Linked DNA regions of Drosophila melanogaster. Changing the gene in region 1 together with any one later gene gives a genetic interaction. Each region holds a gene or a part of one and is shown on either strand. Other genes may lie near its edges.

What was found.
Region 2: of vir (region 1) and msl-2, changing one suppresses a phenotype caused by changing the other (phenotypic suppression), as found in Drosophila melanogaster (one study listed by BioGRID).
Region 3: of vir (region 1) and mle, changing one suppresses a phenotype caused by changing the other (phenotypic suppression), as found in Drosophila melanogaster (one study listed by BioGRID).
Region 4: of vir (region 1) and Sxl, changing one suppresses a phenotype caused by changing the other (phenotypic suppression), as found in Drosophila melanogaster (2 studies listed by BioGRID).

What each region holds. Positions count from the first base shown.
Region 1 is NT_033778.4:23,358,976-23,367,999, forward strand, and holds vir (virilizer), read right to left. Parts: upstream 7,381-9,024; 5' UTR 7,280-7,380; coding exon 7,214-7,279; intron 7,149-7,213; coding exon 6,472-7,148; intron 6,413-6,471; coding exon 3,525-6,412; intron 3,472-3,524; coding exon 2,775-3,471; intron 2,719-2,774; coding exon 1,657-2,718; intron 1,593-1,656; coding exon 1,418-1,592; 3' UTR 1,248-1,417; downstream 1-1,247. Other genes in the region: CG34423 (uncharacterized protein), read left to right, coding at 57-125; Mthfs (methenyltetrahydrofolate synthetase), read left to right, coding at 505-621, 695-950, 1,015-1,247; Ice1 (uncharacterized protein), read left to right, coding at 8,129-9,024. UniProt on the Drosophila melanogaster protein: Associated component of the WMM complex, a complex that mediates N6-methyladenosine (m6A) methylation of mRNAs, a modification that plays a role in the efficiency of mRNA splicing and is required for sex determination.
Region 2 is NT_033779.5:3,461,116-3,468,513, forward strand, and holds msl-2 (male-specific lethal 2), read right to left. Parts: upstream 4,998-7,398; 5' UTR 4,937-4,997; exon of another isoform or gene 4,804-4,936; 5' UTR 4,525-4,803; coding exon 2,592-4,524; intron 2,540-2,591; coding exon 2,151-2,539; 3' UTR 1,103-2,150; downstream 1-1,102. Other genes in the region: CG3246 (uncharacterized protein), read right to left, coding at 1-265, 323-591, 655-736; ND-PDSW (NADH dehydrogenase (ubiquinone) PDSW subunit), read left to right, coding at 5,220-5,301, 5,672-5,947, 6,018-6,139; Pif1 DNA helicase, read right to left, coding at 6,736-7,398. UniProt on the Drosophila melanogaster protein: Limiting component of the male-specific lethal (MSL) histone acetyltransferase complex, a multiprotein complex essential for elevating transcription of the single X chromosome in the male (X chromosome dosage compensation).
Region 3 is NT_033778.4:5,974,418-5,983,374, forward strand, and holds mle (maleless), read right to left. Parts: upstream 6,362-8,957; 5' UTR 6,278-6,361; coding exon 6,202-6,277; intron 6,143-6,201; coding exon 5,626-6,142; exon of another isoform or gene 5,284-5,625; intron 5,221-5,283; coding exon 4,902-5,220; intron 4,261-4,901; coding exon 3,570-4,260; intron 3,052-3,569; coding exon 773-3,051; 3' UTR 677-772; downstream 1-676. UniProt on the Drosophila melanogaster protein: RNA helicase component of the male-specific lethal (MSL) histone acetyltransferase complex, a multiprotein complex essential for elevating transcription of the single X chromosome in the male (X chromosome dosage compensation).
Region 4 is NC_004354.4:7,094,008-7,100,216, forward strand, and holds the start of Sxl (Sex lethal), read right to left. Parts: upstream 4,047-6,209; 5' UTR 3,994-4,046; exon of another isoform or gene 3,938-3,993; intron 3,762-3,937; exon of another isoform or gene 3,617-3,761; intron 3,060-3,616; exon of another isoform or gene 2,991-3,059; intron 2,929-2,990; exon of another isoform or gene 2,808-2,928; intron 478-2,807; exon of another isoform or gene 1-477. Other genes in the region: CG4615 (uncharacterized protein), read right to left, coding at 5,367-5,648, 5,720-5,939, 6,002-6,192. UniProt on the Drosophila melanogaster protein: Sex determination switch protein, which controls sexual development and dosage compensation in females. Sxl protein is only active in females: it is inactive in males throughout development.

The DNA.
Region 1 (9,024 bases):
GCTCTTTCTACTACACCAGACTGTACACGAGGTAAAGATTCCATGTTTCCCTGCAGCAAAAGGAGCAACTGAAGAACCTGAAGACCAAGACGGAGCCTAAGGCACCAGAGGCTCCCAAGAAGTGAGCCCAACCAGGAGCTTTGAACTCCACTAGCTTAACTATGGTTAGGCTGGATTGTCTGAATTGTATTTAATGGGAATGGTACTCCAAATATATTTTGTTTAATTTACAACTGGTTGTGTATTGGATAACTCCCATCCCTGATCAGCTGATCGCCCCGCGGCTCACCCAAACTGCAAGCCTAAACTTTCCCCAGACCGCTCCACTTCCATTTGTTTACGAACAGCGCTGCAAAGCGGAACAGCCGACAGATAAGCGTCAGTGTAAGCGCAGCTGATAACGGGCGGCGGAGTGGCGACCTAAAGACGCATGGACCGCGCAGGCAGATGGAAACAGTTCGCACCGGTTCGCTCGAGTGTGCAGTAGATGATCCAGCGGCAGGAATGGCGGCCACGATCCAGAACACCCTGAAGGTGGCGCTGCGAAAGCGCATGAAGGATGCACTGAAGGGCATCGACGCGGAGGCCATCGCCCGGCAGTCGCAGGCCGTCACGGCTAAGGTAACATTGGTTTGGCTGGGCCCCAAGGTTATCAAGTTAATTCCCAATCCCCCTAATCGGCTCGATCGCACAGGTGCTGCAAAGCGAGATCTTCCGGCAGGCGCAGCGGGTGAGCATTTACCTGAGCACAGCCTCGGAGCTGGACACCACGGCGCTGCTGTCGGAGATGTTCCGCCTGGAGAAGATGGTCTTTGTGCCCACCTACGAGGGCAGCAGGATGAAGATGGTGCGGCTGCGCGGCATGGAGGAGTACGAGAGCCTGCCTCTGACCAAGTGGAACATAAAGCAGCCGGACTTCAAGGAGGCACGCGAGGATGCCATGACCAACGGTGAGTGGCTAGGCATACATCAGAGCTCCTTCTAAACCCACACACACACACTCGATCACCACAGGGCACGGCATCGATCTCTTCATTGTGCCCGGTGTGGCCTTCACCCGCTGCGGAGCTCGGATGGGCCATGGCATGGGCTACTACGACAAGTTCCTCAAGCAGCACGCGGAGAAGTATCCGCACAAGAAGATCTCGCTGATGGCACTGTCGCTCAACGAGCAGATAGTCAGCAACGAGGAGTTGCCCATGGAGTCGCACGACGTCCGTTTGCACAGTGTAATTACGGAAAACTAACTTTTGGCTTACATACAAAGTGGGAAGTAAAGCGAACTAATACGAAAGCAACACACACTATTAAGTATTGGAATTCAGCTGCCCAGCGGGCATCTTAGGATCTAGTTCTGGTTCGTTTGCCGAGTTTACGGGAAGTGTCAGTGAGAAGCGGGTTGGGCTGCAATGTCCTCCTATCTCAGGTAGGATGGCCTGGAACGCAGGCCTCGTCCACGCGGCCGTCCACTGTAGTGGGGCGACGAATAGTGCGAGTCGCTGCTACTGAAGTGGGAGTCCGAGGCAGACCGATACGATCCGGGGGACTCTGCCCAGCTGGAGGGCGAACCAATGCGCATCATCTTCTTTTGCCTGTTAAAAGAGTAAAAAGAGCCCATTAGCGTTATCCTGCTAAGTGGTAATCGTGACACTTTACCTAAAGGCAGCTGCTGCCGAGATTCGAGATCCTCGGTTGCGACCCACCCGGGAGCCTCTCAGCATTGAGGGTATCTTGTTGTAGCCGGTGGGTCCTGTGGGCTGGGCGCCACAAGTTTCCAAGGCCAGGAAGTCGTCCACGTGCAGCGATGGCGGTCGCGAGGTGTTGGGCGGCCGGGAGCGGAACAAATCGCCCCTGGAAGGTGGTGGCCGAGCAAAACCACGACCCCTTACCGACGACACAAACATCTTCTTTTCGGGTCGACCAGTCGCGGGCTCAACTTCCACACGGCGCGTGCGGAAACAAGGCGCCGTGGGCGTCATCTCCCGATTGGATTGGGGCGAGCCGGATAAGTTCATGACCCGCTTGCTATCGCCAGCCACATTCAAGTCCGGATTGAGGCACACGTTGGCCAAATCCGTGAGATCGCAGGCAATGCGCTCGTAGATCGGCTCGTTCATGTCCTCGATCAGTTCGATGGGCAGCGGGTCCAGCCAGTAGCGCGCCGTTAGTTGGGCATTCTCGGCGGTGGCGCAGAATCGCGTGAAGATCGGACGCGCCTCGTACTGTGTGACAATGCCCTCGGCCTGTGGCAGATAGGGCTCCACGGTCAGAGATGCACTGCAGCTGCTGGCAGATGGATTGGCTTCGCCCTCCGCCTCTGGTGGCGTCTCCGTACTGGTTCCGGCGAGAATCTCCTGCTTAGAGGCCTGCAGCAGGATCAGCTGCTTGAGGTCGCTCAGCGCCGCCTCATTGGCCACTGCCTTATGCTTCTCCATGACGGTGAGAATGCGGCTCAGCACCGGTGGCTTGGCCAGCTCAATGTCCTGGAACTCAACCAGCTGAGCCAACTCTGTGGCGCCCAGTTTCAGAGTGCGGTGTGGCATGGCCGACATGGCGGGCGGCGGTTCTATTTGGGTCAGAGAGCGCAGCAGCAGGATCAGAGATTCGATGTTGGCATTGTACTCCACCGTTTCGTTGTGAAGGATCACGCGCTCCATCCACGCCTGGAACTCGGTGATCTTTTGCTTCAACAACTGCGCCAGATGGTAGAAAGTGAAGCTGGCGGTATAGATAATATTAATATTAAAAGCGTGCGAGTGATATTCAGAACTTACTCGTGCTCCGTGAGGATGACCAGATTGCGCACCGCTAGAATCGATATGCCATGCGTGACCTCCACGCTTGTCAGGTTACTGAAGACCGCATCGATGATTCGCGGAATGAGCTCCTTGGGTGGCAGTGCGGCAGCCAGATTCAAAGCGGGCGAAGCCGTGCTCTTGTGCGAAATCAGCGAAATGCCCGAGTCTAGGAAACTGTCCAGAATGCGGTGAACGGCCTCCTGGCAGTTGGAAACCACGTCGTTAAACTCGTTCAGTGCCAGCAGCGACTGGAAGAGTTCCCAGAACTTTCCGGAGAGTATGGACAGCATGGAGCTCTTCAAAGGGGCAAAAGCGCACAAGCGAGTGGAGAAACGAAGCAGCCGTTCCAGGTTGGTGGTCGGAATACAGTTGGATGTCTGGTACTCATTGCACAGCAGTTCCGTGATCGTCTTGGCGATCAGCAGCGTCATGTTGGGCGCCAGGTCGGACAGTTGCATGCACACTCGCTGCAGTAGTTCGGACAGCTGCGGAAAACTGGACGGAGCCAGTGCCTCCACCAGCTTGGCGATCTGACCGCTCTGGGGATGCAAGTGGGCGGACCACAGTTTCCGCTCGGTAATCAGACGCTGCTTGTGCTGCTGCTGCAACTGGTCGCATAGCGGCTGGGGCATAGGCAGCGGCAGTGGAAGCAGCTCCGCCAAAAGTTTCAGTCCTGTACGGAAGGAATCATTAGATGGATCAGATCTCTTGCAAAGTCTAGCTTACCAGGAATGAAGTGCGCGGGACCATCGACATTCTTAAGCACCTCTCTGATCATCAGGGTCCAAAGGGACTTGTGCAGCGACTCCTCGTCTTGTTCGTTCGGCTGGGTGTAGGCGAGCAGGGTCTGGACCACCTCCATCTTGCACTGCTCCACCTCGGGTCCCGCCTGGCAGCGCGTGGGGAAGTAGTAGAGCAGGTAGTACACTTTCACCAGGTGATCGATGGCTGTGAGGTCCTTGTAGGTGCCGTCTCTGCACAGAATCGCGTAGGAGAGCAGCTCGCGGAGGATCTGTAGCGTTGGCAGCATGATCTGGCAGCAATGCACTCCCTGGATGGTCATCAGGGCGGGAGCGTGCGCACCCGGCTGCTCGAAGTAGGCGCATAGTCGCTCCATGATCTGGATGCAAAGTTGGACACCATCCGCCGCGTACAGCTGCAGGGCCACGAACCTATGTTTGAGCTCCTCGGTCACTGGAGGAGCTTTCTGACCTGCCAGCGGCTTGCTTATGGAGAGATAGCGCAAAATCCGCATGGCCATTATCAGATCTCCGGGAAAAGTGGTTAGGTAATCCAGGGAGCGTCCTATCACCTCCACCAGCGGCATAATGTCATCGTATACGAACACATTGATGGCCTCTAAGGGTTTCATGTACACGTACATCTCCTGCAGGACGGCCGACACCGAGGGCTCGAAGGTCTCGTGGTTCTTGGCCAGCTCCAGGATCACACCTCCGTGCTCGATAAGGTAGTCCAACTGCTCGCAGTAGCGGACGCAGGCGTCCACCATGTCCACGGCATAGCTCAATACCGGACTCTTGTACTTCGTGCCCGGCGAACTCAGCTGGCGTTGCGTCTGCAGACGCTGCTCCTTCTTGATCAGATCCATGAAGATCTTAAGATTGTTATTCAAGCCCAGCACCTCCACGGTGTGCTGCCGCCCAGCCGGATCGCAGGTTTGCGAGTAAATGGCATGCATATGCGTGGCCAACTTGACGGCATCGTATTCGGGAGCCGCGGCAGCGTAAGCAATGGCGTCCAGGTGGTAACGCGTCTGCACCTTGTACGACATTTCGATGCCCAACCTGGCCAGGCGTGGCAGTACTGGGCGCAGGATCGGCCTGGGTCGCACTTGAGGAGCAGCAGCTGGAGCTGGAACGGAAATCGGGGCCGCAACTGGCTTCCCCTCCTCGTCGGCCGTCGGTGGAGTTGGCTTCTCGCCTCCAGCTTCCACAGCTTCATTTTCGACCTCCATTGCCTTGTCCTCTGCATCCGACTTCTCTGCCTTCTCCTCTTTTTCCTCCGGGTTTCGAGGAACCTCGTCCAGGCCCAGCAGTATGGCCACAATCGTCTGCGTTACAGGAAAAGCATCATCCACGAAGTAATCAATGCCGACATGCGAGCGCAAAAGGGTGTGCATCAAGTCTAGCATGCTTAGATACGTCGTGGCCGGCAACTCCTTGCAGTTTGCCAACATGACCAGCAGGGATTCCGCCAGTGAGTTCTGTCCCAAGTAGGACTGCAGGGCATTTCCGAAACTGCGCTGCGCCGTGGGATCGGTCACCACCTCGAATTTCTTGGACACGGGCAGAAAGCGACGCGGCTGCAAGTAGCTCAACTGGCTGGAGAACAGTGCATCCATCAGCATCTCGAAGGCAAACTCTATCTGCTGGCAAGTTATCACTGTGTCCTCCATTTGATCGCGATTACCAGGTATGATTATTCGGTCCACGAAGAGACGACGGCACCAGATCTGTACACTCTCCAGGCCTTCCCACAAATGCAGCTTCTTTATAATCGCCTGCAGTGCGTACTTCGTCCTGGTCAGCTTGGCTGTCTTGATGGCTTCAACAATCATCTGATAGCCGTTGTTCTTCGCTCCCATAAAGTGTTCGATACCCATCCTGGTGTCCAGCAGGGCGTAGACGGCCTTGAGGAGCTGAAGCTTGATGGACAGAGCCATGTACGGTTCGTGGTACAGCCGGAACACCGCCTCAAAGATATCGAATTTGTGCTCTTTCAACAAGTGCTGGAAGAGCTCTTCGCTACTGCCCAGAAGTTCAGCCATTCGCGCACCCAGCTTGATGTGGCGGATCTTAAAAGCTGGCTGTGGTTGCATGCATGCCGCCTGGAAACTCAGGGCAATCTGCAGCACGTTAGCCGCCTGTCGCAGATGTAGCTCATCGTTTCCGAAGAACTGCTGCAGGACAAAGTTCCTCCGCTTGTAGTGCTGGGCTAGGTAACCCAATTGGTTGTTCAGTTGTTCACCCAAGTACACAAATTGCTCCCTTTCGTCCACACTAGCGCCATGTTCCTCGCTGAAGGCATTAACATTCTCACAGCGGGTTTGCAGGACCAGCTTCTTAAAGAGCAGCTTCAGAGTTTCCAGCTCCTTGCAGAAGTGGGCTGCCATGTCCCCTTCAAAGACCAACAGTGGCTTCTGCCACGGCTCGAAAGCATCGATGGCCGGAGGAGCAGCGGCAGCAGCAGCCTCCAACTCCCGCTCGTACTCCGCAATGGCAGCCGCATCCACTGCGTCGTCCTCCTCGTCGTCGCCGATGATCTCGTCGTCACTGAGAATGGGCTCAAACTGCTCTTGCGGCGTGCACGATCGGTCCTCATCGTCCCGATCCCGTTCACCACGGTGCAGCGACTCGGAGGAGTGCCGGTAGTGAGATGACTGCATCTTGTAGTGGGAGCGCGAGTCCTCGTCCTCGTAGTCCATCGTGTCTGGCGAACGCGGACGTGTCGGTGAGTCTATCGACGCGGGCGGGGTTCTGGGCCACTTGTGCTCGTCCACAACGGAGCGAGATCTCTCGGAGCGCTTGCGACGTGACCGATGGCTGGAATACTCCGGTGAACGCGACCAATCCCTGGAGCCCTTGTCGCGGGAACTGCAATGAAAGGTCTGTGATAAGTCTGAATATAATAAATAAAACAGATAACCACTTACCACCTGATGTACTCCCTGTCGTTGCTCTCCGAATGCGTGTGCGATCTTCTGGGCGGTGGCGGTGAGTGATCCGTGGAATGCGTGGACCGACGCAGTCGTCGCATCTCTCGCTGCTCCTGCTCCTCGGCATGCTGGTGGTAATGATCCCGCGACATTCCATACTCCATGTCCTCCGGATCGTAATCGCTGACATTTCCTTTGTGAGCGGTCAGCAGTTCGGCCTGCATCGGCTCCTGCCACTCGTCTTTCAGCACATCCTCCTGGAGGAGCACCTCGCCACTCAGGTTGGCTATCTCCGGGCCCACGGGCTCGCAGGGCAGCGTTGGACTGGCGATTGGCTCGGTCACCGAGTTGGTGAAAATGCCGTAGATGGCCAGTGTGATGGTGCTGTACCAGCCGCGCAGCACCAGACCGTCGGTGACGATCTTCTCCTGCGAGCAATCCAAGTGAATGCAGTCGTTCTGGTTGTAACGCAGCAGGCCGAGGTTCTCGAATGCCGACGCAGCCGGCATTCCCAGGTCATTGACGAAGAACTCCAGGTCGAACTTGGAGGGGTTGGTGGCGCCCAGGCGAACGCCGCCGGGAAAGTCTGCCTGGACTCGGGCGCCGAGAGGAATGATCCGCACCTGTGTGATGAAGACCGGCTTGGGAAACTGCACCAAATCCAAATTGATGTCCTATGAGGAGAGGAGGAAGTGGGGTTCAGCGAATGCACCGAGTGGGGGCTTCTGGAGGCACTTACCGTCACTTCCTCATGCGAGAAAGTGTCGAAGAACAGCAGCTCGGACCCGTCGTCTACGTCGGCCATGTTGTGTGCTTAAATCGAGTCTTTTTCAGTAAAATCTTCTACAGTCCGGAAGTTTTATTTATTTTCCGCAACTGCTAGGGATGGAACTTAAGACGATAAGTGATCGATATCATCAATTGCTCTACTACAATTGGTAGGGGTATTCAAGAGGGTATGCTTTAGAATATGTTGAATACATCTTTAAAAACTAAACAAAAATTGTCTCAGTCTAGTAGCTTGCGCAAAACAATGCATCAAATTTTAACGTCACAATTGGCTCATGTCTAGAAATGAATTGGATTTTTTCTCAATATTCCCCATTTTTGGTAATGATGCTCTCAATGTTTTCTAAAAGATTGTAAAATAGCCCTAAAAACCATAGGCTTAAACCTAACGCAGGGAATCGCACTGATTCAGAGTACATTTGTTTCCCTTCAATGGACGCACGCAAATCATGTAAATTTAGTTATTATCAGTAATTCAAAATTTACTTCCTCTACAATATTATCAAACTATAATTCGAACCTCTTATTATAAATAAAGTGTGAACTATCAAAAACGAAGTAGTGAGAACGACCTATAAGAGTTCCATAAAATAGTCCCATACCATATATATCGATAGGCTCGTGCTGGGTTGTCGATAAGGGAAATGTTTTGGAGACCGGCTGCAGAGAAAAACGCGGATTTTGTTTTATTTCTCTGTTTTGTGTATTAAATCGCCAGATGCGCAGCTTAATATTGTCCAACTCGTGACCGACTAGCGAATTGTGTGGAAAATGAGGATTCTCCTTGTTTTCTGCAAGTTCTAGAACCGCAGTGGCGCTTGAACACGCAACCACGTGAAATCCAGCAACAACAAGTCTGCGCAACATGAATTTGGACGAGTTCTCCGACTTCAATATAGATCAGCTTCTGGGCCCAAGCGCACCGCTGCAAGATGCTCTGGTGGCGCCGTATAAGCAGGTGTCGCTGCCCAGGAGCAACCAAGATGTGTACGCCAAGCGAAGCCGGCTGGCCGAGCGAATAGCCCAGAACGACGAGCTGATCCGCCAGGTGAAACAGCTGCAGGCTCAAAACAAACAGCTGGCCGACCTGCAGCGCACCGCCCAAGAGGTGACGGATCTGTACCAGAAGGAGAAGCAACAGAGGATCGAGCTGGAGAAGCGCACCAAGCAGATCGGCGAGCGATGCGGACAGCTGGAAAAGGAGCTGGACGTACAGGTTGGGAACTGCGAGAATCTGCAGGAGCAGCTGCAAGTGCGGGGACTACCCGTGGAAGCCAAGGATGTGCTGTCCATACTCATGCAGTTCTCCCAGCGGCTGGGCGACGATTGTGGACTTTTGCGGCGGGATCAGAACATCATGAAGAAGCTAAGGGAGCACTGCAAGACTATAGACGTAAGCGTGCCCACGCCAAAGAGCCCGAATTCACGTAGCAAACGGAAAGCCCATCAGCCCGGAGTCAACCAATCTACGCAAACCGACGAGGAACCCGCTGATCCCAAGCCCGCGCTTTGCTCTGTTGCTGTGCAAGTGGAAGGTCTGATAGAGACGCGCAACCAGGCCACGCAACACAAGAACACCACCACCACCCGGGGAACCACTACAGCCTCCTTCATCAAGCACCACGATGTGGGCACATGCTTTCCCGAACCAAAGCCCCTGCCAAATATTCGGCAGATACTTGATGAAATGCTATCGTGGCGAGATGATGTCGTAATTGAGCCCATGAGTCCGCTGAGCGATCTGCAGCAGGAGTTGCAGCT
Region 2 (7,398 bases), on another chromosome or scaffold:
TGGGCGCACCGTTCACCACGCTCTGAAAGACACTGCCCACCAGGCCGAGGTTCTGGAAGTCCATTGTCATGTCCGAGAATGTGATGTCGATCTTGATGCGGTCCGTGGCCAGCTGACCGTCTCGTTCGACGGCCAAGAAGGCGGTTGCCTCGGCATAGACATTCTTCAGGACTACTGTAAAGGGTCCATTGGCTTTCGAAAAGAATGAACTGAGGGTGTACTGGCCCTTGACCAGCATCTGGTCCAGCTGGAGGCCACCGTTGAACTGCAGGACAGAGGAGTGGAAACTTCAAGCCAATTCGAATTCAACTTGAAAACTTACTCTCATTTCCTTCAGGTCTAGGTTCATTTTATCAATGCGGAACTTGGACAAGCCATACGCCTTGACCTGCTTCATGTCCAGATTGGCCATGCCCATGCTCTTCTTCACATTGGGCACCTCCAACGGATCGGGCACGGGCACGCCGGGCAGACCCTGCGGATCCTCCTGCTGAAAGTGCACGAGCATGGCCTCCACCTGGGCGGCTATGCTGGCCTGACTCTCTTTGATCTTAAGTGCGTCATCCGACTCGCTGGCTTCCTGCTCCACAGCTGCTCAAAGGTCATTAATGAGTGGCTTAGTTCCGGTAGAGCTCAGACTGGAATTCGTCTTACCATCGCCAGGCTCCTGGGAGTGAACAATGTGGCAGCCACTTGCCATCAGGCCCACGAGCACGACCACTATCAACGGCTTCATCTTTCGGGGATTAGCTGGAGCTTCTGCTTATCAGTTGGAAAATGGAAGAAAACGCGCCAGCCTCCGTTCTCTACTCGGAACAAACACGCACTGTCGACTGGCGCGTTAATCAAAAGATAATGATGAGCCGCAGGCGGCGATCCGCTTATCTAAGGGCGACTCTGCTCGCGGAGCTGCTGATTAAACTCGGAATTGAGATTGAGTGACTTAAGTGAGCGGAAGCGGCCAGCACATTGTAGGCACTCATGGAACTCACTCCACTCCCAGGAACGATGTTCTAGAAATCATGAACTAGCAGCTTGCATGAGGCAAAGAGTGTTACGGTTCGAAAACGGTTTTGAAACCCAAAGAAAATCGCGCATTTTTCTGTAGTAGCAATGCTCATTTTTATTTGAATATTTTAATAGTTATATGTTCGCATATATAATATGGGTATATATGGCTTACTTGAATTGTTGTTCTTAATCCTAGGTTCACGTGCTCAAAAAAATTCATGCTCAAAAAAAGTCTTAGCCTATTCAAAAAAATGTCTTAGCCTATTAAAAAAAAAGGTTTTTTTTAGCTCACAGCATCCACATTTTGGGCAAAGCAATCTATAATTCGCTGTTCGTTGAACGAAAATAATCTTTAGTTTTGACTAATGCTTTACTCTTAAATAGATTATCTTTGCTGCAGCTGCAGAATTGCTTTAAATAGTTATGTATACGACTTTTGGCTTAATACGTATTAAAAAAAAATTGAGTTTTGGAAACGTTTGCTGGATGATTACAAAAATCAGATTGTAGAATGCTCCTAAAAGATATTTGGGAGTTGATTTGAGTGGAAGTTGTTTGAGTGGGGGAATATATAGCATAACGAAACCACAAGTTAAAAACAAGAGAGAATGCTAAAGTCGAATTTCCCGACTATCAGATACCCGTTACTCAGCTAGTGGAAATACGAACGCGAAATTTCATCATTTTTCTGGGATATCCAAGAGATATTGGGAAATAAAATGAGAAAAAATTTAAAATTGTGGGCGTGGAAGTTTTGGGCGGTAAGTGGGCGTGGCAACATGGGTAAACAACCAAGCGCTGCATCTATGTCTCTAGAATTTATATGCTTAATCTCAACCTTCTAGCTTTTATAGTTCCTGAGATCGAGACATTCATACGGACAGGGCCAGATCGACTCGACTATTGATCCTGATCAAGAATATATATACTTTACATGGTCGGAAACACATCTAGTATACCCTTTTACTCTACGAATAACGGGTATGATAAGAGGATCAAAGACGATACCACGTTATGGATGCAATTCAGTGCTGAATTCGACCATCCATAACGTACATAAAAATTATCTATTAAAGGATTGATACCTGGACATCACTGAGCACATAAAAAAACAAACATATAGGGATGAGTCGTCTTGCTTACAAGTCATCCGAGCCCGACATGATCTCCTCGAACAGTGAATGGGCATTGTCAGTGGCCGATGATCTGTCGCCAGCGGCAGAATTGCTCCTGGATCCGCCACTGACAAGCTCATCCACCGTGTCGAGGGCCGAGAAGTTGGCCCTTCCTCGGCGTGTTCGACTGGTCCTGAATTTCTTGGCCGGTGGCTCGATGACTTCCCTGTCAGGAGCAGGAGGCGGTGGTGGCGAAAGTGATGGAGCTGGTGGATTCGGCGGGTCAATTGTTGGCATTATATAAGCATACTGGGGAAGGGAACCGAAGCCATCGGTGTGCTGCAGCTGGACACGAATAGTGAAGCCAACGGTGACCGGATCAAGGGGCTTGCTGCCCTGGAAGATATTGAAGCCTGCAATTGGAACAGGGTTAGATAGGTCTAACACAGCGATGAGGTAACTTACCCTGGTACTCGCCTTTCTCATTCTGAACAAGCACCAAAGGATGCTGGGATTGCTGCAAATTATTTAGCGGCACTAGGCTTATGGGGGCAGAAGAGTCTGGCGGCGCCATACTGTTCTCCTCCTGCCTAGGCTCAGCTACCACCGGCTCCTCCGACTGAGTCATCGGCTCTGGAACGTCCTTCGGCATTTCGAAATCCTCCAAATCATCGTCCTCATCACTTTCAACGTAGTCCTCCTTGTGCGGATTCTTGCAGCACACGCAATGACACCCGGCACAGCTGTTGTAACTCTTGTAGCAAGGACATCGGGAATTCCGGCAGGTGGTGAGGGTATTGCTCGAGCCGGAGATACCGCAGCGGCACTTCGGCTTCGGAGGCTTCACCTTTTCCTCCTTGTCCTTGCCCCGAATCCTGCGAAGAGCGCCCTTTCCAGATTGCACTTTAGTCTTGACCTCAGACGGTACAGGCTCAATTTTGGCAGCTTGTGACGCTTTGAGAGTACGGGTTCTCTTTCGCTTAAGTGTTGGCTCGTCACTGTCCTCCTTCTGCAGCTCAGCACTGATTGCGTGCAGGTCCTTCTCCTTCTCCTTCGCCTCTTCAGCCGCTGCCTTTGCGTCCTCAAAATCTTTCTGCAACGACTCCGCATCCTGCAATTCTGTTTGCACATGACCCAATTGTGTTTTTGTGGCAACATGCTCCTCCACTGCTTCCTCCATTTCGGTTTGTGTAGGTGACTGTGAAGTGTGCACATCCAAGTGTTGATCCTCCTCCATGTGCTCAGCTACAACCTCTGACGGGATTGAGGTCCCTTCGGCCTCTTCAACGGTCTCTTCAACCAGAGCCTCATCAGATTCCTCAACTTGCAGATTAGCCAATTGATCAGAGATTTCGTTGGGTTCCTCAGCGGAGGTAAGCACTTCTAGCTGCGTGGATGTTTCAACGGTCTCTTCAACGGTGGTGGAGAGCACAGTCAACTGTGTGGACGTCTCGACGGTCTCCTCAACGGCAGCCAGCACAGCCAACTGAGTGGAGTCCGCCATTTGCACCACCTGGCCGATTTGCAGTTCCTGTGGATCGAACTTCGTGGTCGCAGAAGTGGGCATCACGTAGGAGACAGCAAAGTTGTTGCCGCTATTTGTGTATTTGGACACCGAAACCGTGCCAGACAGGTCTACCTGATCCGTCCACGCTTGGTCCATGAAGCCCGACTCCGAGCTCTCGGTGGCAATGACTATTTGCCCGGCGTGAGAGAGCATGCCCATGCGAGATCCTGTGGGCAGCAGGGGAAGCGGCGAGAAGTGACCCTGCTCCGCTGTGGCCGCCGCCTCCGCCTCAATGTCGCTGATGTTGAGGTGGTGATCATAGGGCAGTTCCGGAGTCGTGACCGCCGACGTAGGCGGCGTCTCTGCGGGCAGCGATGTGGGCATGTCCTTGAGGAACGGCAAATCCGGCTGGGGCAGAAAGATGTCAAAAGTGTCGGAGATGTTTGAGCCCTCGCGAATGAACTCCTGTGTGGTTTTGGGAGGCAGCTTGATGCGAGGCACCAGCTCCCTGGCCACCTGGGGCCGCATCCCGGCCAGCTCACCAAATAATGCCGAGTGGAGCAGGTGGACGCACAGCGTCTTGTAGCACAGTAGCTGGGCGGCCATCATACGGTTCTCCTCGTAGGTCTTGAAGTCGGAGCAACCCTCGCACTGGGTGCAGCTGGGAAACAGATGCTTCTTACCGCGCAGACACAGCCGGCACACGTTGTGCTGGCACCGCTTGCCCTTGGGCGAGTAGGGATCCACCAGCAGCTGGCAGCAGACCACGCAAGACAGCAGCTGCCGTAGCTCGCCGAGCCCGGAGTTCAGCTCCTCCACCCGCCGTTTGGAAAGATTCGAAGCGGAGCGCATCGCGATGCGTGTCACCTTCAAGTATGCCGTCTGGGCCATGATGGCTATATTTTTATGCCCGGGACTGTACGCACGCCGCTGTTTGTTTACGTTTTTCAGCCCAAAAGTGAGACTCCGCTGGCCAAGTAAGTGCCTTGTCGGTCCGACCCACGCCACCTGCTCCGCTACCTGGTGCCTCCTGGGCTAGTTACCTGCAATTCCTCGCCCGTAGGAGCTCAGTTACACATGCTTAGACCGCGTTAATCCTCGATTTCATTATCTAATGGTAACTTTACTGGAACGCTTTTTGTTGGTTTCACTTTTGTGGCTTCGTTATCACTATGTTTCACGTGCAAAAAAAAAAAAAAAATTGGTTTACGTTTGAGAGGTCTCAAGTCATTGTTAATGGTTATGCTGCACACTGTGCAACAGCGTTGAAAACAATAAATTAGCAACTAAAAAAAAAAATTACCCAAGCAATATTTTGCTGAGCGAAGCCAGTGTGACCGCAGTGTGCCAGTGCGAACATGCTAGCTGCAGTGCGGCATAGGTGTGACCACTACCTCGAACAGCTGATTTCAGTGCTCTGAGGAATTTTCGCAGTTACGAACTGCGGTCCTACAACAAATTTTAACACTTAGTTTTTCAAGTAAATATGGTTTTTTAAGTATTTTCCGTCAAAGGAAAGCGGAAAACCTTGGAAATTATTTACTAACAGCTCTTCCGCTTACGCCAGGTGGTAGGAGAGCCAGAAAATGCCGGAACCGCGCAGTCCGATGGCCAGTTTTGCCGAGTCGGTGCTGAATGTCATCGATGGACCCATAACTTGGTTCCGTGGTATGTAGTCCACAGGGATTCCCAATGGCCATGGTCATGGGAGTCTCCAGATGCTGCAAGTTTGCGTTTCCTTTGGCCAACGATCGGAAAAACCGGACAAATTCCAGACAATTACATAATGACATAACCTCAACTCGCAGTCCATTTGTTTTTGTTTACACTGTATTGCTGAAATGCTAAAATGTTTATAATCAACCGTTTTAAGTAATTTCTAGCTAGCGCAAACTAAATCTCTTAGAATACTAGTCGGCAGCCCTTAAATGCCGTCCGTTACTATATAGTTCATCTAGTCAAAGCGGGATCATGTTTTTCAACAGAAATGCATTACAGCTAGTATATTTTATTAATGCGCCTTGTGTTAATCCCACAGAGAGCATTGTGGAGCCGAACCAGCAGAAGCAGAATTGGTACCACCAGCGCTTCCGCCGCGTTCCGACGATCGACCAGTGCTACACGGACGATGCCGTCTGCCGTTTCGAGGCCGATCAGCAGTTCCGCCGGGATCGCATGGTCGACAACGAGATTGTCAACATTCTGCGCCAGCGCTTCGAGGACTGCACCCTCTACGAGGCACCCGATCACATGGTCAAGTGCAGGCCGCTGATGGATCAGTACGAGAAGGCCACCGAGAACTGGTTCATCAAGTGTGAGTGGAATCCCTTACCCATCTTCTTTAAAGTTGTATGTGATATATAACGAGATATAACCCATTATAGATGGCGACTTGGGAGGCTACGCCAATGCCAAGACCGCGTACATGAAGCAGAAGCATCGTCTGATCTGGGAGCGTCGTCATGGACCAGTGGGCAGTGGCATGAAGGAGGAGGCCGCCCATTAAACTCCGCTTTTATGATGATGTTTTCTAGTTTCATTATCCGTTAAAACAAAATATACACGCCGTAAAACGATATTCCCAAGGATTGAGCTTTCTTTCAATTGTTTCAGTGTAAATTATAAGGTAAGAGCTACTAGGAATTATTTATTACTACAGCAGTTTCAATTCATTTGTCTATTAGTTGCATTTATTCTTAGTCATGTTTTTCTTAAAATAAATATTAATATTGGCGTTTGATATAGAATTTTGGCTATAGACTAGCTTAAAACTAATAGTTCTCAAGATTAAGAGCCTTGGTTAAGTTGTTCCAGTGAGTAAAATAAAGTTTTTGCCTGCGTACTGCAATAAGTTTACAGAATATAGTGATAAATCATAAAACTCACACTGTAATTCTTCAGACTTTTTCGAAAATTTAGACAATTTCAAAAAGAGTTCCATAATTTCTCATTTTTTAAAAAAAGGAATGCACAGTCCATAAATCATTTGCTTTTCTTAAAAAAAGAAAAAATTACACTTTTAGAAATAGATACCAATAGATAGGCAATAGTGAAATTTGTTCAAGCTTTCTAGAATTACGCTATCTTAGATTACTTTCGAGCTCAGCTAATCGAGACCAGCGGCTTGTTGATGAGACTCTTTTTGAGCTTAGCCAGAGCGCTATTTGCGGCCTTGTCTCCTGGCTTCTTGTCCTTGTTTTTGGGACCCAATGGTATCATGGTTGTGTCCATTAGCTTGCGTCTGAATCCCTTGTAGAACTGCAGCACGTGTGGATTGGCCCACACTTGCTTGGCGTCAAAGTCCAGGATGCGAATGGACTGCAGGGATTTCGCACGGGATAAGGCCACATAGGCCTGTCCAGCCTCAAATACTTTGGAAAGGGACATCTCCACGCAGTCGAGGGTTAGTCCCTGACTCTTGTGTATGGAAAATGCCCAGGCTAACTTCAGTGGCACTTGGCGTCGTGTTATATGGTTTCCTGAGGCGGTCTTTATTATCCACCTTTCGTGCTTGCAAACGTATTCCTGGTTGTTTTTGAACCTTACCACTGGCAGATCCTTCTCCATTCTTACAACGACGCCTCGAGCTCCGTTCACCAGTCCATTGGATATGTTTATATTCTTGAGTAGCATTACTTGGGCGTTAACTTTTAGGTACAACTGAGATGGAGCCTGGATCTGTTGATCCAGTGTCCTGGTCATGCTGGCATCGGAGTCGTCAGCCTTGAATAAAATCTTGTCGCCATCGAGGTTTTCCAGCTTGGA
Region 3 (8,957 bases), about 17 Mb from region 1:
ACTTCGATTGAAAAACTGTTCTCACTGAAGCCGAAATACATACGATAAAAATTGAATTGCTTAGCAACACAACGTCATCACTGACCACCACTTTTAATTGGTAACGAAGCTCACCATCTTGACCAGTAAAAAAGAAGCGTAAGAACAGCTTACTCCAGTTACTATTACATTTCTGGTGCTCCTCAAATCTTTGTGATCTAATATTTATTTGATCAACTTTCATTATTGCTTCGAAAATTATGATATTTTAAAATCACCGCCATATCTGTACAATAATTAATTTTTCTTTTCCCTTCGAGTTTTGATAAGGCACGAAATATGTTTTGCATATATATGGCTTTTTATTGTATATATTGTTGTCATGACATATGTTTTAAAAAGGTCTAATTGCGAAATCAGTAATCGTCTAAAATGCTAGCAGAGATAAAAAATAATGATTACACAGGTTCACCAAAAGCCTTTATAGAATGAATGTTTTTGATCTCATTTTGTGACAATAAACGATTTCCACGCCTTCACAAACGAAATTCCAGCAATATATGTATGTATGCAACAGGTTAGGGAATGTCAGCGGAACTATCATATTTGGTTACTATTTACATACGTTAACTCGTGAATCTATTCGGATCGCACATGCGTATTTAATGCCAAAAAACCAAAAGATTCAATGCGTCTTATTTGTATAATCCCTTCAGCATATCGAAATGCGAATAGTAATGTTTATTATTCTTTTTGTTTTTGAAAAAACCAATACATTTTTTTTATGTATCCGTTAAAAGTTACCCCAGCGGCCGCCTTGGTCGCCATTTCTAAAGCCGCCGCCTGATCCTCTATTGCTTTCAAATGAGTCTCCAAATCCACCTCTCTTGTTCCCATATCCTCCGCCATTGTTTCCATATCCTCCACCATTATTTCTATAACCTCCGCCATTATTTCCATATCCACCATTATTTCCATAACCTCCTGCATTATTTCCATATCCTCCTCCAATATTTCCATATCCTCCTCCATTATTTCCATATCCTCCTCCATTATTTCCATATCCTCCTCCAAAAGTTCTGCCGTTTCCACGGCGACCAAAGCTGCTGTTAGTAAAGCGTCCTGTCTCAAAGCGACCTCGTTTGGGCGGTCCTCCGCCGTCACTGAACTGACGTGATTGGTGCGGCAGAATTCCTGATTCACGCTGCAGTCCGAAGTCTCCGGCGCTCTTAACGCAAAGGTCTTTGACCACTTTGACCAGCTGTGCATAGGGCTCCTCAAGGCGAAGTATGTCGGAAGGGTTGTCGCACGCCACCGTGATAAGATCCTCCAGGGCCGGCTTAAGGGCACCAATCTTGGCCGCAAGTTCCGGCTCTATGTCGAAGTTAAGCCAGTTGTCAACGCGCACTATATTGTTGGCGGCCAAGTCAATCTTGCGCGATCCAAACAATATCACCTGCAAGGGCGAGACCATAGATAGTTGCTTGCAGGAAACAGCTCGCGTGCGAATCTTCTCGCCGAAAACGAAGAACGGATACGGAAATGTGACGGCCAAGTTGCTGCAATTCACCGAGGTTTTGTGCAGTAACGCTGCTTTAGACTCTGTAGTCAGCACTTTGCGCTTCTCCTTGTGCACGCAAATGTTGGGGTAGAGACCCAAGCACAGCAGCGCCAGGGACACATCCAGCACGGGGTCATCCCCATCAATCCTTTCGTCTACCTCGTGCGATATCATACACTCTTCTGGGAATCCTGCCTGCTGAAGGAGATCCAGTAACTGCTGCTTGGCATCCCAGATAACGTTCATAGTACTCATTTGCAGTCCTTTCCAGTCACAGAACCGAGCTTCCATATGCTCACCGCGTTGTTTCTCGCGCCGCCACATTTGTGAAGCTACAATCATTGCCACGTGGTCGGAACATTTGGTACCACTCAACGCTTTCTGATGATTTGCCAGGCGACGTTGACCTATATCAAGACTAAACACCTCTGAGAAGGTGCTAGAGTACGAAGCCATAATGGCCATTAGATCGGCGCAGCCAAATACTGCGCCGAGGACCATCATCTTTCCAAGTCTTGGTTCAATTGGGAGGCGTGCCAGCAGGCGCCCCAATGGAGTAAGTTCATCGTTAGCGTCAAGGCAGCGCATCTCGCGAAGCAACACCTCAGCTTCGATTACTGCGTCTACCGGAGGTGGCTCCAATGCCTTTGACAAAAAGTGGTGAATGGAGCCCAGTCTGAGTAATTTAATGGTCAACGCCATCTCGTGCAACGGTGTGCGGAACATCTCCGGCGTAAGATTGTCCTCTAGCGCTTGGAAGCGGGCACGCGAACAGAGTGTGAAGCAGAAGCCTGGTCGGACACGTCCAGCTCGGCCCTTGCGCTGCTCCAAATTGGTTTTGCTTGCCCAAACGGTGGCGTAGCTGGTTAGGTTGTTATGTGAAGTAAAGAGCTTCATGCGCGCCTTACATATATCAATTACGAAAACAATGTCGTCAATAGTTATAGAAGTCTCTGCAATGTTGGTAGAAAGTATAATCTTGGTTACGCCTTCTGGAACAGGCTCGAAAACCTTGCGTTGCTCGTCTCGTGGAATCTGCGAGTGGCACGGCAAAATTTGGTATTGGGATGTATCACCAAAAATGTTTGTATTTTGCAGAAACTTCATAAGCGCAAAGATCAGGTTCCAACCGGGCAGGAATACTAAGATAGCACCGGGAATATTTTTTGACTTAATATGCATCAATAATGCCTCCAGCAGCTCAAAGCTAACGTCCGATTCGGATAGCATGGCCATAGCATTTCGAGTCTTTTGTGAATACTTGTCCTCGCACACCTTGTTATAGTTGATTTCCGCCTCGTCCTTGTCCTCGGAAAGCAATTGCTCCTCGTCCTCCACTTCCTTGCGCTTTCGGCGCGACTCCGCCGAAGGCACAAAGTCTGTCATCTGAATAATGTCCTCCAAGAAAAATTGCTGCACGGGAAATGCTCTTCCGGGTACTTCCAATACGGGACAGATGCCAAAATATTTGGAAAATTTCGTTGTATCAATAGTGGCCGACATAAGAATAACTGCAATAGAAGAGTTTCTATTAATTATAGTGTTTTCTAAAAGTCATATCATATTAAATTAGGACTAGAAATGTATGACCCGTAATGCATATAAGTTTTAAGTTCTGAATAGTAATTTTGTTGGGCATAAGTAATTTTGGCAAGTCAACTCTACATTAAATATGAAACACAAACAATTGGCAATGCAAATTTTCAATGGAACAAACTGACAAATCGACTATTAAGAACATAACATATACACTCTGGGCGGATCCGGTACAAACAATATAATCATAATCTTCATTAATTAAGCCAGTGAATTAGTGCAAAATAAGTTATTTTCGCGGCTCAAAATCTGCTCAACATTGCTTTTTATACATGTAAATGTATGTATATATACAATACATATATACAAATGTATGTATATATAAATATATAAGTATAATCAACAATTGTCGAAGAGTTTCACCCCAAGAAATTTGAATGCAGGTTATACATACGGATTTATGTTAGAAATATTGCACCTTATTCGAGCTTACCATGCAGGTCCGGATATGTGTCGACCATGTCGCGAAGGATGACCAGCAAAAAGTCGCTGTTCACGTCTCTCTCGTGGATTTCGTCCACAATAATATGCGACACTCCTCGTAAGCCAGCCTCCAGCTTGCGCAGCAACACACCCACGGTGCAAAAGAGGATTGCGCCGTAGGGTCGTGGAAACACAGACTCAAATCGCACCGAGTAGCCTACAGTGTCGCCCAATTGCTCGCACCGCTCGCGAGCTACGCGCTCGGCCACAGAAATGGCTGAAATGCGACGAGGCTGGGTCACATAAATATTAGCGTACCCGCCCTGGCCGGAGCAGATGTAGTCATCAAGAATGTATTGGGCAATCTGGGTAGTCTTTCCGCACCCTGTGTTTCCACGAATGATTACCACTGGATTGTCATTAATTGCGGTTAAAATTTCCGACCGCATCGCTGCAATGGGCAGCTTTTCGCGGAACTCGAGGAATTGTCGGTACTCGTTGTCGTTTTGGCGGCGATCACGCAGCGAGCGTTCGTAGTCCATCGAAAGGTCATCAATAGAGGTGGTTGCCAGTTCGCCTTCGTCGATGTTGCAGGCATGCCACGTATTCCAGTTTGCCTGAGGAGGAGCCCACGGAATCACGGAGCTTTCCTGACGTTTTTCGCCATCCTGTTGCGAGGAATCTATACGGCTTAAGTTCACCTAGGAGAAAATATTTTACATCGTACACTACATTTTTTGTTCGCAAAAAAAAGGTGGTTTGGGTAGGGCAGCGTATTCCTATGCTCATATAGTAAGGGTATGAATGTAAGAGATAACAGAAATAATCTTGTTCAAGATCACTAGCCAAGTCTATCACAACAAAAGCTTGAAAGTTAAGATTAAAGACGCAGATTTTAGTTATGCTAACGTAGCGTAAAACCTTCTTTGAAATATCTTTTGAACACAGAATTGGATTAGGTCGATTATGGTGTCTGTCGACGCGTATTGAGAGCTATATATAGAAAAAATACAAATGTTACAGCCAAGTATGCAGTACAAATTAATCGAGTTAAAGTATTTGCATTGTTGTTTCGGCATATCAAATATTTTTGAGGGACTGAACGATGTGGGAGTTACTAGCGTATTCCTAAGTATATGACTTACGTAAATCAATATAATAATATATACTTTATAAAGTACTGTTGGATGTCATCAAGAATATTGAAACCGGTATACAACATTTAGCTAATAGTCTTTGTCTGATAAAATCTCTAAACTGTTTTTTAATACTCTGAGATAAGAAATTTAATTCAAATTGCTGATACATTTTTATTTTAGTTTTCTAGTTTCGTATTACTTACAATGAGAGGAATCGGAGGACCGTCCAGTTCGATTTTGATATTGCGCGGGTTTACGACAGGAAGGTCCAAACCCTTAATCACCTCATCAATTTTGTTTATCAGATTTGGCGAAAGCTTCACCGGATATGGCTTCAGCTGCTCATCCTTTTTTTTCTTCAGAGTTCCACTAAAGGGCTCTATCACATTTAAATGGAAAAGTTGGCGCACCAGGGACAGGGCGCATGACTTGCTGGCAGACTTCTTGTTTGAACCCGACTCACGGGCCGTCACCGTGCGATTGAGCGCCGGCACATAAATGGACAATTCGGCCAAAAAGCTCCTACATTAAAAGAACTTTTTGAAAAAATCTGGACTGGTAATGTAGATCAAATCCGGAACTTACCCTCGGGCTATCGTGGGAGTCTACGGACTGCTGAAGGAGCCAGCCGACAGAACGGCGTGGTACTAATGTGTTAGACGCAGCTGGAAAGTCAGCGCTTGAATTATTGTCAGCTAAGCCGCGTTGCATGGGCGTCCGTTTTGCTTACAGACCCCACGCAAGGAAGCTGGACGTGGTTCTTGTAGTTCGGAGTATCGTACCACATCGTTCTGCCGGCGCTGCTCTGCACAAATCAAATTGGTCACAGCCCGACATGATTATGGGCTGCATTTCAGATTTGGCCGTAGGCCATATTCGGTCAAATCCGAAATGCAGGCCGAAGAAAGTTGAAAAGGAAGCACATACCTAGCGTGTTCCGGGCCCACTGGTGTATATTTGTAATCGTCGCGAATGTTGTTCGTCTGCTTGTAAATGTTCAGTCGCTCTTTGGCATTCTCTATGGTCCAGTTACCGTGGATGGCAGCGTTGACATCGAAAGCCTCCGCTTCGTTCATGTCCCTCTGCTCCTGGATGCGATCAATTACTGAGTAGCGGTTACCGCCGTCACCGCCATCGTGGTTTAGAGGGCGATAGGCCTCACCCAGATCCTGTGGACCCGACTGACCATCAAACACTCGCTTCTGCTGTCCACTGCCCCCTGCCATGCCCGCACCCTCCAGACCAGTCCTAGGTCCGCCCCCCGAAGCACCAGCATCCGCTGGAACATCATTGGTGTTCAGTTTGCCCACGCGCACTAGGTAGTTGACAAAATCACGGCACGCATTTTTCTCGGCATCCTTTTTGTTAGTGGAATTACCCACACCAATATAGGTATTTGGCTCTACACGAACCTCGCAAAGGAACCGCTGGCGATTTTTGGGACCTATAAATTAAACTGCTACTTGGGAAACACGCCTGGGGGAGTGCAACATAACCACTTACCCGTTTGGCGAATATCAAACTTTGGTTCTATTTGCGACTTAGCACAAAATTGGTACAAAAAAGATTTTATATCCATTCTTAGATTTTCAATAAACTTTCTATCAACTACGGAGCTCAAATTAAATTTATTTCTTTTGTGATGTCTATTCTGATATCGATTAATTTTTTTGTTGCTTTACAAAACACTAACGCGTCTTGAATCGCCTATCAAAATAGGAACGGATAAAATAGAACAGTGTGTGTAGATATAAAAACATTTAATGTAATTTAATCTAAAATAAAAGAAACCTATAGAGAGACTTAGACATATTTGTATATATTGCACTATAAATAAACAGACAAATTTCTTATATATATACTTTTATTTATTTATTTAAATATAACGTAGAGTATAAAATTTTAAGGTAACTGAAACCTAGATGCATTAGCAGCTAGCACCTTCCATTTTATATTTTTTAAATTAGGTTGGAGCTTTTTAAAAAGTTTCTAATTGTGTTGATGTCAACTGTTCTATGTGGCGAAAGGGAAGAACAGTATGCTAGGATGGGATTAACGTCTAACTGGTTGCAAAGAGCGCATATAAATACATATACATATATATGGGGGACCTGTTCTTGTAATGGTCATTTGTAAGGTTGATGTGATCAAGCCTGAGACTGTTAATAAGAAATATCGTTTTCCTGTTGTGTGATGTGGTGTTGTTGAAAGGAGTTTGATGTGGTATGTTGAAGGATGAGCTTGTATCAGGGAGTTATGTTGTAATGCAGTTCTGTTTGTTTTGAATTGACGTATATGCCTATGTGCCGAGAAGTCTTTTATGTATAAGTAATAAATGAAATATTGCAAAACAAAAGAAACGGAATTCCAATTCAAATTGGTAGACGAATTTTGAGCCGTTTTTTGCGTAAGATGTGTAGGACAGAATATTATCGAATAATTGATATCATATGACTATGTTATGCCCTTCAATCCGTCAAGAAAGATTCCTCATATCATAGCAGGTCTTAGAATCCTTAAATAATTTACGCTAATTTACGATGAAAAAAATAATAATCAGCATAAATAATCATATATTAAATAGTCATTTCTGGCACCAAGAAGACCACTAAACTTGACCAGCGACACGACCATTGATTTCTGTTCAAATAAAAATATCCAAGCTGTTGAAATAAATTAGTATTTTAAAGATGATGACTGAAATTCAGTATTATAGTATATTTGCCCCAGTCTTTTGGTATTTCTCGAGTCCGCGTACTGGTCACACAGCTTTTTGCAACGCGATGGGAAAAAGAGGACGATATTTGAGTTAAAATGTGAATACGGATGCCAGCCCAACTAAATAATAGTGCAATCGCGAGTCACCCATTTAATCGCCTAGTTTGAATTCTTTTTTGCGGCCCCAACGCCGGTACACAGCTGGATTTTTGTTGGTTGCCAGCAGTCCAGCATCACGCACACCCACACGAGCAAATGTAGATAAAAGTGAGAAAACACTCACGCACGCACACACACAGGCACACGTTTGGTCGTGGGCAAGCATTTAATTTCGTTAGTGCCCAGTAAAACAGAGTTGAGCGAAAAGGCGATAGCAACTTGCACAAATTGTAAGCAGTGCAGAGAGTCAGTGAAGAGGGGATCGAGTGAGAGCGGCGTTTAGTGCCAACACCCAAGCGCTGATCTCGCAGCTACAAACAATAAACAAACAGTGAAAGTAACAGTAAACGCAAGCGCTGCAATTTGGCTTCCATTGATTGCATTTAGTACTCAGTCTCGGCGGCAGCACAACTACTCATCCAACAATGGGTAACTGCCTCACCACACAGAAGGGCGAACCCGACAAGCCCGCAGATCGAATCAAGCTGGACGACCCGCCCACCATCGGAGTCGGAGTGGGCGTGCCACAAATCCCCATGCCCTCACACGCCGGACAGCCACCGGAGCAGATACGTCCGGTTCCCCAGATCCCGGAGAGCGAAACGGCAGGTGCCAACGCCAAGATTTTTGTCGCCCTCTACGACTACGACGCCCGCACCGACGAGGATTTGAGCTTCCGCAAGGGAGAGCACTTGGAGATACTGAATGACACGCAGGTGAGTTTTGCTACGTTCACACGCACGCCTTATTCGCGAACAAAAAAGTTGGCGTTTCCTTATTTGTAATTAAAAACTCAAAAAATATCGTGCACACAAAAGAGAATTAAACTTATTTTCCAAATATATGAATTTGTATTGAAAATCAGTTTTGGACAGATATAGAATGTTCATTCGATAAAGATATTATTTATTTTGTTAGACTAAATATGACTATGCAACTTTAAAATAAAAACAAATTAGACAAGAGTGTAGTTGGTCGAATTTTGTCCTGGCAGCGTTTTGAACTTTTACTTTATGTACTATTTTGGCTAACGAATTTTTAATCGATATAGCAGAGGTAAAATTCAAATTATTAGCTTTTTCTGTGCGGTTGAGCGTCGGACATCCTAATTAGCTAAGATGAAATAAAAAAATAACTCTCCGGTGTGTCCCATAATTCGGTTATTAAAGGTATACTGATTGAGAATTAGATGACGTCAAAAGCTTATGTGGAAACGCTACAGGTATCTCCAATGAAACTAAAATATCGCCCAAACACAAATAAATTAACTTGCAAACAATATATAGATCGCTAACAGCTCGCGTTGAAACAGAATGTGAGTGAGTAAGCCGATAGGTAAGCTATTTATGTTGGTGTAAGCAAAAGAATGCGAGAGAGTGTCT
Region 4 (6,209 bases), on another chromosome or scaffold:
ATCATTATCGTTAATTGCAAATTAATTTGACCATTGTACGAGATAAGTATATTATTCTTGTAGGAAGAATGTTTATGAATTAACTTCCAATCTTATCAAGTACCATTTCCAGTGAGCCCTAAGCCCTAGCCATTATTTTTCCACAAGCAGGAAGCAAATCCATTGGATACTCGATACATGAGTATTTGTCCTACACTTTGGGATCCCCCAGCCAAAAATAAGAGCAAGAGCTGGGCTTCCTTCCAAGGAAGCGAATGAGGAACCAAAACTTTTGGCAAACAGAGAACAATCAAAATGGAAAATACGAAGCTGCGAAAAGAGATGCGAGCAGCGGAGAAGGGGGAAGAAGAGGAGCCAGAGAAAACGAGGGCAGCCAAACGAAGGCGCAAAGGGGGGCGGCGGCCAAGTGGGTGGGGCGGCCTAAATCGCATTGGGTCGCTCAGAAACACAAAAACCAGAATAAAAGCCGGCTGGAATGGGGTGGTACGGTCATCAAATTCGAGGGCTGCTCTTTTCCCATGTACACAATATACAGCAAATGCCGAAAAAAAAGAAAGAAGCCCAGGGGAAGGAAAATGAAAATATGTACAGAAATATATAAAACAGAGTGTGTACCTCGCTTTCCAGCGTGAAAACGGAAAATGCGGAAATAGAGAAACGAAAAGCGTCACAAGCTGTGAATACGGAAAAAGCAAAAAGGTGGGGGGAAAATACAAAAGGGTAACCAGAAGGTCGGTCATTCCGAAAATGGGAGAGCCCAGAAATGAAAGAAAATTCAAACATAAGTAATAGAGTACCAAAGACCCATAGACTTTCCATATGCAGATGGGTGAAAGCTAAATCACCATGAAATCAAAAACCAAAATAAAAGAAAGTCCATCACGGACAAAACTTTTGGGGAAAATGCATATCACAATGCGTGGTAATAATATATCCAATGTATCATATTAAAAAATTGAAAACAAATAGTTCAAAATTATTTCTAAATATTACGATAAAATGTTAATATATATGACTTTTTTAGCTGTTTAATAATTCAAAGCAGCAAATAATATTGCAATGATACACAACAGAAAAAAATATTACATAACAATAATAAAAAAAAAACAATGCAGGCTTTCATTGATTTCATTGACACCATTTAGCAGACATTTTTCGGCAGTGTACGAGGGAAAGAGATGGAGAAAGCGCCAGCGAATTGTAAAGCAATAACAAAATGCGAGAAAAACTTTACAGTTTGATAACAGTAGTCTGCTAATTTGGAGCACAGTTGTGTAAATAGAGCAGCACTATTATGCAGTGCTTGAGTGAATGTGTGTTCTAAACAGCTGATAAAAGCCCATTTAAGTACATGAGCTAATGTATACATATATACATATAGAAGATGCATGTACACATCTGTGCATCTAACAATCGCTCAGCTGGGAAAATGAGTCATGTACCCGCATGCATGAATGGATCTCGGTCTGGAAACAAAATCACAGCGGCATTGCCAGACACAATCAACGATCCATCGAACATTCCAGCTGATCGTCCGCTTGGATTGTTATTATACTGTTGTTATTTCAAGTGTATCCAAATGCGCATGTATGTACATATGTATGCATGTATGCTTTTTAAAACATTGAGCGAGCTTAAAAAGTACAGTGAACACTTGACATTGCGGAACCGAAACATATATACTTTCAAGGACGTATTCAACTTCATTTAACTCAGTATTATCTGCCATAAAAACATCGAAATAAGAACATTCAACGCTACAAAATATACTCTTAAATAACGACGCTAAGTAGTTGCATTATCTAGAGACCACTGTTGGGAAGCTTTTATTAACTGAAGACCAAATAAGGTTTAAAACGGGGTGCAACGCTCATGGGAATTGTGTAACGTGCAATTTGCGCAAGGGAATGACCTCAATGGAATGCAGAAATGTGAATTAAGAGTGTTGGTGGAGGTGGGGGTAGTACTAGCTACCGCCATTTCCAATATTTCCAATACGCTTTAAGCGAAGGGAACGATCGTTGCGATGCGACGTCATTGCCAACAGCAAGAAGGGGAATGACCCACCGAGAAGCGGAGATGAAGAGAAAAGGAAATAAATGCAGCTGCCCTCTCCTCACCACTCCACTCCTCTCCCACCAGCCAGCTGCAACTTGAAAAACAAAAAATACGGCAGCTGAGCGTACGATAGAGACAACAACGGAGGGCGAAGCGAACATCTTCCCTTGCGCTCACTACCTGCCTGGAAATATCCAGGATCCCTGATCTTCAATGGAAAAGGGAGGGCCATAAACCGAAAGGCGCGTGTCGCTAATGAGGATCTTTAAAATAATGTTTCGCCAACTAAAGCTATATAAACACTCAACGAAGAAATTACAATTATTTTAATTGCAGAAGCTCTGGGAAACTCCAAAATATGTCATATCTTAACCAGGGACACATGTGTAAGTGAAGTGTACGCCAAAACACGTTGCCTTCGATGATAACAGCTGGCAATGCCGTCGACGTAGGGCGGTCGCCACAGTCGACCACCAAAAAATAGGTACATATCTACTTATTAAAAGCAATCACAAAATACTCCAATTTATGCGCAGCAAGAAACACATGGTGGCATAGTTGGTGAAACAGGAAGTAATATGTATACAGGATATGCGTAAATGTAGGTAGTCGATTTGCAGCGGAACTAAAGGAAGTGAAAAAGGGACACGCGATAAACACTCAGGTAAAGCGAAATCTATTCCAGAATTTTCGGCCCTTCACAACTGGACGCGACTGTATGCATGTGTGTTGTTGTCTTTTTCGCCTACCTTTCGTTATATGTTCTTACTGCCCTTGGGTTTCTCTTGTTGTTTCTTTGCCCCAAAAAGCTGTTTGTATACGAACAAAACCACTTACCCAGCGGCTTAGTTATTATTATTTAGTTAGAGACTAAAATGGAAAAAAAGAATTAAGCACTCACACACACGCTGCTGTTTTTATGTACAACTTACTGTTTATGTGTATGTGCATATGATTTTTGGGCGATGCTTGCATGTTGCTATGTACTACACAACTGTAACGGAAACGAAAAAAAAAAGAAAAAACAAAGTGTAAGCCAGGCGCGTGAATCGCCTTGCAAGTGTGTGCGCGTGTGTTTATGCGTTTGCGGGCATATACACACTCGCACGCTCTCTCACGTAGGCGCAACACACACATATGTATATACATGCGAATGACGAAGCCGCAAGCACAGAAAAAAAAATTAGTACATGAAGTAACAACGAGTGGACGGGAGAGAGAGAGAGAAGGAGTGGGAGAGCGAGCAAAAACGGCTTTGCTTTTGCTTTGCTGTTGTTGGTAGTGGTGGGAAATGCTGAATGGAATTTTACAACATGTTTTCGGCTCGTCAATCGCTTTTGCACTCTTCTTTCAGCTCAATAACTTCACAAAAAACCGTATACAGCAAAAAATAAGAAACAAAAAACAGCGAGTATCTGTATACTGCTCTTTACTCGCTCTATTCAGATGTACATATGTATGTATTTGAGGCCAACAGCAAAAAAAATAACATGTATAACTTGAAAAAAGAAAAGAAAAACTCCAAAAATGCTTGGTTTTTTTGTAATTGTACTACTACAATTGCGATATGATCTATGCGCATTTTCACAATGTCTGCGTGTTTTCCACTATCGTTTCCTCTCCACTTTTCTCTTTTTGCGTGTTCTTTTAATTTCGCTTCGTTATATACACTTCACGTCACGCTAGAAACCCTGTGCATGTATGTATATATATATATCTATATGCATATATATGTACATGCTGCAGTGTCTGTGTGTGTATTGTTTTTTCGATGGGGATTTATTTCTTCTCACACACTTATTCTGTAGCTACACGGATTGCATGGGGCACACAAAACAGCTTCTTTGTCATGATTTTTAAAACGTTTTAACTTATTCACTTGGATCGTGTGTTTGATTTACGTGGCGAGTGTCAGGAGGAGCAAAGAAAAATTACCAGAAAAAAATTCACTGCGCGACTTTCCTTCTTCGGCAACAACAAAGCAGTGTGCACGTTTCGCGGTTGTCGGTCAATTTAAGCTATTTGGGTGGCTTTACGGTGGCTAAACGCGTTTTCGTTATTTTTCTAGGCACTCGGCTGGTCACACTGTTCATTTTCTACACCGCGTTAGTTAAGACTCACTCCATTTAGCGAATACACGAACCCATTTAGCCAAGTTTCACACCTTCGCTTGATTCGTAACGGTCACATAAAATTCAAATATGGGAATTCAAATCAAGCTTGAAATTTTCATTTAAAGAAAAGAAAATAACGAATTAAAATTAGATACAATTTTATGTCTTTTGAGCCCCGTTAGATTTCGTTCATTTAAATATTTAGAATTCTACACAAACAAAAAAAAATTTTCAATAAAATAATATATATATATTTGCAACCAAAAAAAGAATATATGTATATTCATATATTTAAAGCTAAACAAGATGTATGAATAAGCTAAACAAGATACATGCATAACATTGTAAAACGAACAATTATATTTGAGCACGCAACAAACATCTGAGCCCTTTGCTTTCATTTGGAAATATACAATTTATTAGAGCCATTAAAACTAATCGATCTGCACCATAAATACGAGTAGTACACGAAAGCTATATCCGCCGATCGCGAGCCAGGCCCCGAAAATATCAAGATATCAAGCGTATTTGTAAATAGTCACCTTCTTCAGTATCTGCGAACACATCGATTTGTCCCTGAGCTCGGCGATGAAACTGGCCGAAGGGGCTGGACTCGCGGATCGGATGGCCTCTTAATTCTATCTACTTGTGTATATGGGTATATATGGGTATATAATATATCTGTATAATCTGTATAAACATGCATAATGCAATGCGGGATAGGCGGGCTTCTAGTGTTCAAAAGGTTCAGGTCGTTAACTCTCGGATATTTGTACAAGTTTAATATTCGTGTCCTTTGCCTTTTGAGTACGGTTCAAAGTCTTTTGAGAAACACATGGCCAAAACGGGTCGTTATGGATACTAAATATATGAATATCGCTAATAATATCAAGTTAAAGTTGAGAGGGAGAGGGAGAGATGAGCACTCGCACAATTTGAATCTTTGGCAAGACCGCACATACTGATCACAAGAATCGTTTCGATTTAGTTAGTTCGTAATGCTACAACTAGACTACAAGCTAGGCGTCCTCGCTCGCTTAAAATTTGGCTAATTGTGGAGCAGAGACTCGGGTACATCGGGTATATCATAGGAATACGTTACACATGGCTGACAACATCGAATCCCTGTCGTTAAGTACTCTAAGTTCTAAATTCGCTGCATGTTACCACAACTGCTTTGTGGCGCTCGTTTGTTCACGGTGCTGCGGCTCCCTCGCTTGGATATAGATTCACCAGGATGGCGTAATAGTGACATCCGGCGGCCAGCACCACAAACAGATGCCAAATGGCATGGGCCATGGGTATCGTGCCGTCCGCCTTGAAGAATACAATGCCCAGAATGTAGAAGCCGCCGCCGAACTTGAGCTGCATCATACCGTGGAAGTGGTGGCCAGTGAACACAACGACTAGAGCGGGTCCCAGGCCCATCACCAGATAGAAGAACGTCTCCAGACACTTGTAGCGCTCGTGGAAGACCTGTTTTCGCCAAACAAAAGGAAATTTCACCTTAAGGAGCATGTGAACACGGGTGCTGTAAATGAACCCACCTGCTGGTAGGCAATTCCTATGCCCGCCATCAGCCAGATGACCCATTCCATGCAGAAGAGTATGGCCGAATGATCGGTGTTCTCTAGCGTGAGCCAGGGGAAGTACGATCCGGCGATGAACACATAGATCATCGCCCTGTCGCAGCGATGGAGCACGTTCTTGAGCCCCTGATACGTCTGCCAGCCGAGACAGGGCCAGGCCTTGACATTCTTCGGTGGTCTAGTGGAGGTATACAAAAATGTACAAATCAAATGGTTAAATCAGCCTGTGTGCGCACTCACTTGTGCTCGGCGCAATAGCAGGAGCAGTGGAAGAAGGTGGACACCGTGAAGAGCATGCACAGGGCTCCGCCGTAGACCCAAGCAACCAGATACTGGCTGGCGCTGGAGGAGCGTTCAAACAGCTTGATGGCCGCAAAAACGGCGGGCAGTATCCAAATGCCGTGAGTAATCACATTGGCCACCTGCTCGATCTGTTTTTTTTTGGATA